Linked DNA regions of Coturnix japonica. The protein of the gene in region 2 purifies or fractionates together with the protein of the main gene of each other region. This does not show direct contact. Links are inferred from orthologs where the notes say so. Each region holds a gene or a part of one and is shown on either strand. Other genes may lie near its edges.

Region 1 (5,205 bases), on a different chromosome or scaffold from region 2:
GAATAAACATGCACAGAACGACAGAAGCATTTACATCTAATGAATTCACCATGTGTTTTTTCATACTCACTTCTTTCATGAAGTTCTCAGTACCTGGACAAAAATCCTTCTCTATTCTTGCTCATCTATGGAATGCAGGATTCAGCCATGCAGTTGGACACAGCAAGATGTAAATGTCCTGTGACATATAAACACACTCTTTCAGTTCTGGATGGATATAATTTGCACAAAGATATAATATCTTACACCAAGCAACTTGAATCTCTCCAAGTCCAAACAATTTCCTGATCAATGCTCCATCTTTAAGGCAGATTTCAAGTCTTGCTCAAGCTTCACTACTAAATTGTTCTGTTGGATTAATCAAAGTTTGTTTTACAAGTGTATTTGTTTCAAAGTACAAAAATGAAGACAGCACTGGAGAACACCGTAATTCAACCTAATGGGTTTAAAGGAAACAAAGTAAACCAGATTCTGAAAGAAATCTATTAATTACATGTCTTTGTTATATGTCAACATAAAAGGCCCCAACCCTACAACTGTTTGTGCATTTATAATTTCAAATTATCCATTTTTAATAATTAGTTTAGCAGATGAAGCATGTTCATAAATCTTCATGCTTTATTTAATACAGAGCAACTCTGCAAGATGAGGGGGAAAATATATAATTTTTTTTTTTTAAGATGAATTTTAAAATCTACCTATTTCGAGGCTACATACATGTATTATGTCAACTTAAATGTGAATTCAAAGGAAAATTTGAGTCTAAAAGGGCAAGGCTGCAGACGGGTTACCTTCAATCTACTTCCACCTTACTGTAAATATTTCATGTTGTTGGAGTGCTTATATGATTTTATTGATTTATATATTTTTTTTTCTTAATTGATTTACCATGTAAATAAAATGTAAATACTCCTTGTTTTCAAATGCCAGGCATCTTCCATATCAAATATGGTTTAGGCAGTAGAAACGTCATGTAAGACACACCTACCTGACTGTTCTGCTTCTGCTTCTGCCAGAATTTTCCAGTGAGAACATCACTGGCAATATTTTAGGGTTTTATAATCCTTTTTCACTAACAGAACTTTTGGAATTTTGTTTAAATATTATGATGTTATTACCTACACAAGGAAACAACTAATTTGTTAATTGTTTTAGAAAGTGTTATTGTAACACGTCAGTAAATTAGCATTTTTTTCCTTAAGGAATTAAACTGTTAAATATGTTCTATTCCAGTAGATATTACTGTAATCCACTTTTAAAAATGATTCCTCAGCTGCATTCAGACAAGTGTTCCTGAATCTCCTTTGTCTTCAAAAGTCTACTCACAACAAATTACTATGTAATGAATGCTCACTGGGTCCTGAAAATATTGTAGTACTTATGAGTTATATCTCTTTTTGTGTGAATTGGGCACAAAATGGGGTACAAACAAGTACTTCAGAAAGCACAGCAAAAAATACTTCAAACCTTATTTCTGCTCCAGGCCTTAGTCATGGGGTGGAGGTAGTCCTAATCTGTATGGGAGGAGCTATGCAGTCACACAACCGTGACTGTGGCACATTAAGGAATGTACATTGCACTAAACAAAGCTGGTGGCAGTGTAGAGCAGGGCAAGGCTCTTTAAATTCCTCTGAGAAGTCCACACCTATATAGTTGTGAAAATGAACTGCAAATTTTAGGGTAATGCTACCGCCTAATCTGCTCCCTTTGAAGTCAAGAGAGAATGTGTTTTATTTTTTCTCTAAACAAATGATTGAGCTCCCATAAAAATGAAGTATTTGCACAGCCAGTTATTCTGAGTCTCATTTCTTGTTCTTTAAAGAGAACACATAATTCAGTAATTTTAATGTAACTTTAAAAGGCAGGAATTAATACCTTCGTGCAGACAGTATTGAATTCAAAACATATTTCTCAAACACTTTCCACCAAAACATCTACCATTCTTGCTGCTTTTTATGGCTTTCTGCTTGCAAAGACATTACCTGTTTGAACACTGTTTAAAACAGGGGAGAGGACTCTTCCCTCCTCATGTGATGTAAAAGTTCCTGACAGCTACATGTTTTTATTCAGCTTCAAAAATTATAGACAGTATGTAATATTACAGTGAAAAAAACACCCAGAACCAATATTTTCTTAACAATTGCTCGTTGAGATTTGATTTTTTTTATTATTTTTTTTTCTAGAATGAATGAAAAATATATTGTACTTCTCCACATTTTGCTTTCTTTAAAGGCTGGTTAACATACAGTAGCATGTCCTCTTAAGTAATTAACAGAATGCGCAAAGATTGTGTTTACCTGTTAGTAATTTACAAGCAGTATGAATTTCTGTGCAGATTTATTGTACAGATTTTTATTGCACAGATATATATTTGTTTATTGCTTTTTCTTGTTTTGTTGTTGCTGTTTTTTAATAAATGGCTTTGAACAACCTGATATAGTGGAAAGTGTCCCTGCTTACGGCAGGGAGGCTGGAACTAGGTGGTCCTTTCAACCTAAGCCATTCCATGACTCCATGATTCCATGGCTGTACGTTTCTCATGTAGTTGAAAGAAACTTTCCTATAAAATGTTGATAACTCATTATATTAATGCAATATGTAATTGTTAGCTGTTGTCCTAAACTCAAGTACTCAAGCTGTTGGAAAAATGCTGCTAAGGTTGGGCTACAGAATAGAGTAGGATTAATGTAATTATGAATGCAGCATGCAAAGTAATGCAGAGTTACGTTCTTTTCATTAACTTTAGTTCACAGGAGCAAATAATAGCAGCATTTAATTAATCCATTGGGGAATACTCATCTTGAGAAGTAAGCAGTCTGAATGTCAGGTAATGGCATTCATAATCAGTGATACAGGTAAAATAAAAATCCAAGGAAGCATGCAGACTGAGGTGTAAAATATTTATACAAGTAGTTGCTGCAAGTTTACTAAGTGGTCACTGTCTTTATCTTTTTTCCTTTTTGGTAAGCCAGACAGAAGTAACCATTTTTTCCCCTCACTCCAAACTTCTAACACAAATACTATATTAATGCTTTTCATTGTGTAGGGATAGGTTATGCATCTTATAACAGATCTTTTGAAAAAAACCAACCACGGTTCTCTTTGAAGGAAAAGTGATAGAAGATGTAACCCTGGTATTTTATGGTCAGTTTGTTTGTTCAAAGAACTTGAGATTCTGAATAATTTACCAATTATTCAATACAGATAATATATAACATGTAATTTAGCCTATAACATGTAAGAATGAAAGATACAGTAAAATAGAATGAAAATCAGTGATGGATTACTCTGCTTAATCTGTCCCAGATCTGTTGTATAAGGGTCATATGAATAAACAAAGCAAAAGCTGTTTTTGTAAAAATGGTTAGTTACTGTACATCATCATTGGAAGAAATCTGAAACCTGAAGAAAGAGAAAAGCAAGCTTTTTTAAAAATTCTTTTTAATTTTTTTCTAATTTTTAAAAAGGTATAAAGGTGAACCAATATAGCTTCATGGCCAGCAAGTGAATGTGGACATTCATCTTCTGGCAAAGGACAGAAGTTAAAAATTGGCCTAAAGGACTGTTGTGTTCAGCACAAGCTGAAAGCCACACTTGCATGGATTAAAGAAATGTGAGAATATCACACTTAAAATGCCTTACTGCTCCCTTTTTAATGAACTTGTCAGTAAAAAGAAGATTTAAGAAAGATTATTATCTAAATCACATATTTTAAAAGAGCTCTTGGGTTTAGGCCTCTAAGAACTGCTCCTTCAAATCAACGGAGAAATTTCCACTCCTCAGATAGTGAAGTGCTATCTCAGCCAACATATTCAATGGATACACTTAAACTCATAGGTTAAAAACACTTGGGACTGTTGTCTGGCATTAAGGCTACTGACAGCATAATGTCTCATGCCTACATTATTAAACTCCTAATGATTCAAAATAATATAGTCACATGCCTCTGCTGCCCATCGGTAATGGTTCCTGACTCACACTGATTTCCAAACTGTGCCCAGGAATTGTCTGGGAGAGTGCAAGCTAGTATGCATTTAGCCTGTGCCAAAGTCCGTTCAAACACTAACATGCAATTTTTAGACAAATTATTTCCAGAGTTTCTGAGCATTTTGTGGTGGTTCCATTTACATAACATTTTAGACACAGAGTTAATGCAGTCTCCTTGAAGTGATGAACTAGAATACAGACAAGTAGCTGTGGTCCCCCACCTATAGACAAATCACCTAAATATTTCCAATTAGTTCTTTATTGAAACAAAAATCCAATTTTTTAACAGCAACACTTCACAAAGGAAAGTTGACTGGAATTTGGCAATCATGTTAGATATTAGTTTATGCGAAGACATCTTAAATAATCCTGTACGGTGGCAAAATAGCCTTCTAAGTAGAAGCATGTCCCTTTCTCAGATATCTCGCAGCTTTTATGAAGGGATATCACAGAATGAAAGCAGAAACCACACACTGCAATAAAACAAATAAAGGGAATTTCTGCATCCCTTTAAACTGTGGATGTTAACATAAATTTCAACTGAAAAATAACTTGCAAAATGTAATTGTTTTTAAGCTAAACACAGAAAAGGAATACAGATAAGTAAAACATCACTAGGTATCTTCCAAGCACTGACTATTCCTCTTATAAATTCTTTCTCCAATGCAGAAGAGAAAAGAATGGGGACAAGGGGACAAGGGGAATGACTCAATTTTGTAACTGGACATATATTAGCAACTTGATTCCCAGTGTGCCCACAGGGACAAACATTGGTTCATCTGCTCGGTCTGGTGACCACTTCAGAAGACATGTGGGTGCTTCATTAGTGGCCCAGAAAGCAGTATTAGTTTGTCACAGATTTAATTTCTCACAGACTTCCAGTGTTGTACATTCTAAAGCAGAAAGCCTTTGTTTTGTGTTTGTTTGTTTTAAATTTTGATAGATGGTCCAGAAAACTGAATTAATGACTTGGAAAAGCTGCCTAGACTTTTACAATGCAATTACCTACAGACAAATGCCTCTGCCTAGGTGATGCAACTGCTGCAGGGGGAAAAACACAAAGACTGAGAGAAGAATGTATTTTTTAGAAATGGTTAACATGGAACTTTCAAATAGCCATAGCTTAAAAATCTAGTCACAATAATCTAGTCATGAAAAAAAATACAATTTTTTTTTTTTTTGCAAAAGGATGCATTTAAATTCCAATTTTTAACGTTA
Region 2 (4,926 bases):
CTCTCTCCCCCTCTCTATGAATGGGGGTTTATTTCTGTCACACAGATACTCCATTTCTGAGACTCCTTTGTAGAGCAGACAGTGGTTGATAGTGAGTCATCCCTCCTTATTAAATTGCCCCTCCATCATGAGCTGCCTGCAGGCACTGCTCCAAAGTCCATTGACTGCAGCAGGAGGATGGCTCCCAGACACAGGGTGCTGGAACGAGCCCTAGATGAATTTTTATTTGATATCTGTATTTTAAGGAACTGTTTGCTCTACTTAGAGGTAGAATTGCTACTGCACTGGAACGGAATATTGAGGTCTACAGGACTAAAACTGGGACAACGGGTATATCCTATCTAATGTAACGCCTCCAGTCACGTTAAGTCAAGTTAACTGGAAAATCAATTGACATGAACTCCAGCATGACCATTAGCTGCTATCCAGCTGAGCCCAGAGAGCCTTGCCAAGAAGCAGCAGATTTCTAGCTGGGATAGAGCAGAGCTGTGCACATTCATCTCCTAGAGATGCTTCCCACCTGTGGTCTCCTAGGCAATGTTTGTGTTGCCCCGAGCAATTATCATGGCTAACAGACAGCACAGGGGTCAGGTGCTGTGGGCTGGACATGGGCTCTGCCCCTGGCTTTGGAGGGCAAGTGCTGTAGTTGGCTCTGTGCACCTCTGCTGGTACAGTTACTATTTGTTAAATCATAACAAAGTGAGGGAGACCTGAACTGACCACGCTGACCAAGAGGATCCCTACAGTACACATAAAAGGATTGTAGCAGGGAGCTGTTTTTTCCTCATCAAAGCTCCTTTCTCCTGCAGAGAATGTTACAGCTCTGCTGCTACAAAGCAGATCTTTGCTGTTGTGGCTCTGCTCATGCAAGAAGCCTTTTGCAGCTTGAGTGAACCTGGATTTCTTTCTAAGTCCTTCTTGCAGGTTTACCCGCATGTCTCTGCCTTCTATCAGGTATAGTGATATAGAGCTCAGTCTAAGAAATGCATATGGCTTTTTTCACATGTTTGCAATGAGCTTTTGGGCAAAGGATGTCCTAAACGGCGTCCAGGTGTGGAGCCCTCAGTACAAAAAAGACATGGAGATTTTGGAAAGGGTCCAGAGGAGGGACAGGAAGATGATCAGGGGGCTGGAGCACCTCCCCTATGAGGACAGGCTGAGGGAGTTGGGTTTGTTCAGCCTGGAGAAGAGAAGGTTGCGGGGTGACCTCATTGCAGCCTTTCAATACCTGAAGGGAACTTACTCCCAGGAGGGGAGTAAACTCTTCGAAAGGGCTGACAATAGCAGGACACGGGGAAATGGTTTTAAGTTAAAAGAGGGAAGATTTAGGTTGGATGTTAGGGGAAAGTTCTTCACTAGGAGAGTGGTTAGGCCCTGGAACAGGCTGCCCAGGGAGGTTGTGGATGCCCCGTCCTTGGAGGTGTTCAAGACCAGGTTGGACGGGGCCCTGGGCAACCTGATCTAGTAAAGGTGTATGTTTGGTGGCCCTGCCAGGCAGGGGGTTGGAACTACATGATCCTTGAGGTCCCTTCCAACCCGGGTCACTCTGTGATTCTGAGGCGGCCCCGACCGTGGCAGCGCCCCCTGCAGGCGGGAGGCTGCACTCCTCCCTGTCGGCGTTGCGGCCCCGCTCTGCTCACACTTGCCTTTGGCGCCCAACCCGCCCCCCAGCGGGAGAAACCACATTTCCGCGCTCTCTGGGGGGATTCGGTAGGTGAGGACGGGCGGTTTCGGACGGCTGCTTCGCCTTAGAGCTCCTTAAAAAGCTAAAGAGATATTGAAATCTGATAAAAAAGGCGATATTTTTAGTGTCTACTGCCTGGCGCCTTCTCCGGCCAGGGTGGGGTGAGATCTCTTCTCCGCTCTCCCCCTCCGCACTGTGCCGAGTGGTTCGCGCCGGGACGGGCAGGGGTGGCTCCGCCGCCATTTTGTTTCGTGAGGGGTGAGCGGGGCTCCGCGCCGAGCTCTGTGTGGCGGCCGGACGGGGCGGGAGGAGGCGGCAACGGGGGCCCGGAGTCGCTCGGAGCCGTCGTACCGGGAGGAGGCGGTCCGGGTGGGCTGCGAGACGGCAGCAGGAGGCGGCGGGGCGGCTGCCTCCCTCCCCCATCCTCGGCAGCCATGTACATCAAGCAGGTACGGCGGAGGGGCCTGCTGCGGCCTGCCCCGCTCCGGAGATAGAACGGGCCCGGCCCGGAGGGGAGGCGCGTGGCGGGGCCTTGCGGCCTCTGCTCGGGTGCTCGCGGGGCCCTTGGGCGGCGGTCCCGTGCTCCGTCGGCCGTTTCCATTCATTGCGGTGCGTGGTGGTGGAGCGAGGGCTGCGCTGCGGGCCCTGGGGACCTTCGGACGGGGCGACCACAGTGTCCCGGCCCTGCAGGGCACGGCCGGCCTGGACACTGTGCTGTTGGTGCTGGGGTGGAGCCTGGCCCGCCGAGCACTGACCATTCCAGCTGTGCGCTTCGTCCCTGACAAGCACCCAGCAGCTGATGTTCAGATAAATGAAGTCCTTGTGTGGGCCTTCTCCTAACAGTTTTTAAGGCTGTGACTCGCATTATTGTTGCTGTTAGCGTATCCCTGCACTAGTTATATATGCTGCACATCGCCGTCGAAGTTTTTGTCCTCGTTCTTACTGCTATCTCTGTACGTTCATCTGAAGCCTGCTAGGATTCTTACTTCTCTCTGCACTCAAAATTAATTAGGCCTTCTGACACCCATTGCGTATAATGCTTCAGACTATGTTTGGAAGCACACATTCTTCATGGAGATCAGGTTTTCATCAGTTGTTTGTCGACACGGGAGCGTTTGCAGATGCCTTTTGGTACTGTTTTAGTACACCTGTGTCACTGGTTCAGATGCATGTTTAATATATGATGCATGTTGCAGTACTTCAGATAAGAAAAAGCCCTACAGACTTTTTGAAAGCCATTGGTACCAAGGCAGAGCTTACTGTTACTGTGAGGATCTCCCATCTGGTAGATGGAGCCAGCCAGTACTTATAGGGTCAGGCGTCAGATCTTCTGTGAACAGCCACAGTGTTTGAGCAGTCATCAGCCAGTACACGGTCCCAAACTTGTGTTCTATACTTTGATCCATTAAATACTAATATCCTTGATTACTTCCAGTATGGTTACCTTATATCTAGACCTGAATACAGTGCAGGTCCAGAGTTTCATTTTGCTTTCTAAACTTACACTGTTAAGAAATCTCATAACATGTTTTGTTTTCTTCCTAGTTGCTAATTCTTCCTTTTTACGTTAGTTTTGATGGTGAAACGTCAGTGAGGTTTTAACAAGATCTTCTGGTGGTGAAATGCTAAGGAAGGGCACAGGGACTGAATGTCAGTTCTAGTCCATTTTGAAGTGGTCTTCCTAAAAGATCTGCAGCTTTTCAGGCGGCTGTTATTCAGATGTCACATTGTTATATATGTCAGATTGAGGAAAGCTGATGCAGAGTCCTTTCAGCACAGCTTTGATGATTGAAAAGGGCTGATTAATGCTGAGCTGTGCTGGAAGCCGGATCAGTTTTGCTGCTGCATGGAACTAAAGTATTCAGATACAGTCATTCTAGACTAAAATTGGATAGTTGTACTTATAGACTAGTGTTTGCTGTGTAGCTCTTTAGCTAAATTCATTGTGTAGGTTGTATATGTTTGTTTAGGAAGCAAATTCAACAGAACCAATATTTCTGCCTTTCACTTTCTTTGTGTTACTGTGCAGCCTAAAGAAAAAACAAGTCTGTCTTGCTCCTAGGTCTTGCTTTGACCTAGATATGTGCCAGTATCTTTTTTGAGCAGAGAGAAAAAATCTCAGTTCATAAAATGATGCTTAGGTGGAGGCCAAGTCTCATAATACAAGATACTGGTCTTGAGCTTGAGAGCTGACAGGATTAGGGAAAAGACATCAAGTGTATCAAGTGGTCTTGGAGGTGTTCAAGGCCAGGTTGGACGGGGCCCTGGGCAACCTGATCTAGTAAATGTGTATGTTTGGTGGCCCTGCCAGGCAGGGGGGTTGGAACTACATGATCCTTGAGGTCCCTTCCAACCCGGGTCATTCTGTGATTCTGTATCATAAGTGATGTGAATGTTGTGTAATATCTTGAGGTTTAAAAAGTGCTTAAGAGCAGAGGTAATTCTGTCGCTTTACTCCATAGGTAATCATTCAGGGCTTTCGAAGCTACCGAGACCAAACCATTGTGGATCCATTCAGCTCAAAACACAATGTCATTGGTGAGTTCCAATATCTGTTTTTTCACACTAATTAAAATTGCATCAGATCATGGTCAAATGAGTCCTTAACTGTTTATATTCTTCCTATGTTTGATTACTTTGTAATTTCTGCACTGGAAGCTTTTTTACAGTTGTCTGTTAATTTTACAAGGCATATTACAGCATGTTTATGGCAAAGCAATCTAGTGTTCATTTTTACTGTGACCTCAGAGTGATTCCATAGGAACTGAGTGAGAAGTGAACTGTGAGCACCTTTGTATGTATAGATGTCCATACTGGACAGTCCTCATTTAAGAGACTGGGCTTTTTGAAGTAACTCCTGATAATCTCAGATATGTGAGGGGATGAGTGAAGCTGAAGGGCTTTGGAGGCAATACGGTAGCAATGATTGATGCAGAGAACATGAAAAGCCTTGGATGTTTCATTGCTAGAAGGGAAGCTGTTCTGAACTTATACAGTCAATATTGGTCTTAAAGATGAGACACTGAGCCTTTACTAAAACATCAGAATATTCTTAAACCTTTATTTTTTTTTAATAGAAATCATATTTTTCTGGTCTGTTTAAAACAAAACATTTCTGAATTAGCATGTGGGTTGTTCATTGATTTCAATTTGTGGCTATATACTTTGTGTTTTAATTTTCAGTGGGAAGAAATGGATCAGGAAAAAGCAACTTCTTTTATGGTAAGGAGTGATTTTTTTTA

Evidence for each region.
Region 1: the proteins of SMC3 (region 2) and NIPBL purify together in Homo sapiens (affinity purification with western blotting; 4 studies listed by BioGRID, with this or other methods). This does not show direct contact. The link is inferred for Coturnix japonica from reciprocal best matches to the Homo sapiens genes SMC3 and NIPBL.

The regions. Positions count from the first base shown.
Region 1 is NC_029547.1:10,336,323-10,341,527, reverse strand, and holds the start of NIPBL (nipped-B-like protein), read right to left. Parts: upstream 3,385-5,205; 5' UTR 71-3,384; intron 1-70. UniProt on the Homo sapiens protein: Plays an important role in the loading of the cohesin complex on to DNA. Forms a heterodimeric complex (also known as cohesin loading complex) with MAU2/SCC4 which mediates the loading of the cohesin complex onto chromatin.
Region 2 is NC_029521.1:22,933,560-22,938,485, forward strand, and holds the start of SMC3 (structural maintenance of chromosomes protein 3), read left to right. Parts: upstream 1-1,917; 5' UTR 1,918-2,118; coding exon 2,119-2,133; intron 2,134-4,146; coding exon 4,147-4,222; intron 4,223-4,867; coding exon 4,868-4,906; intron 4,907-4,926. UniProt on the Homo sapiens protein: Central component of cohesin, a complex required for chromosome cohesion during the cell cycle. The cohesin complex may form a large proteinaceous ring within which sister chromatids can be trapped.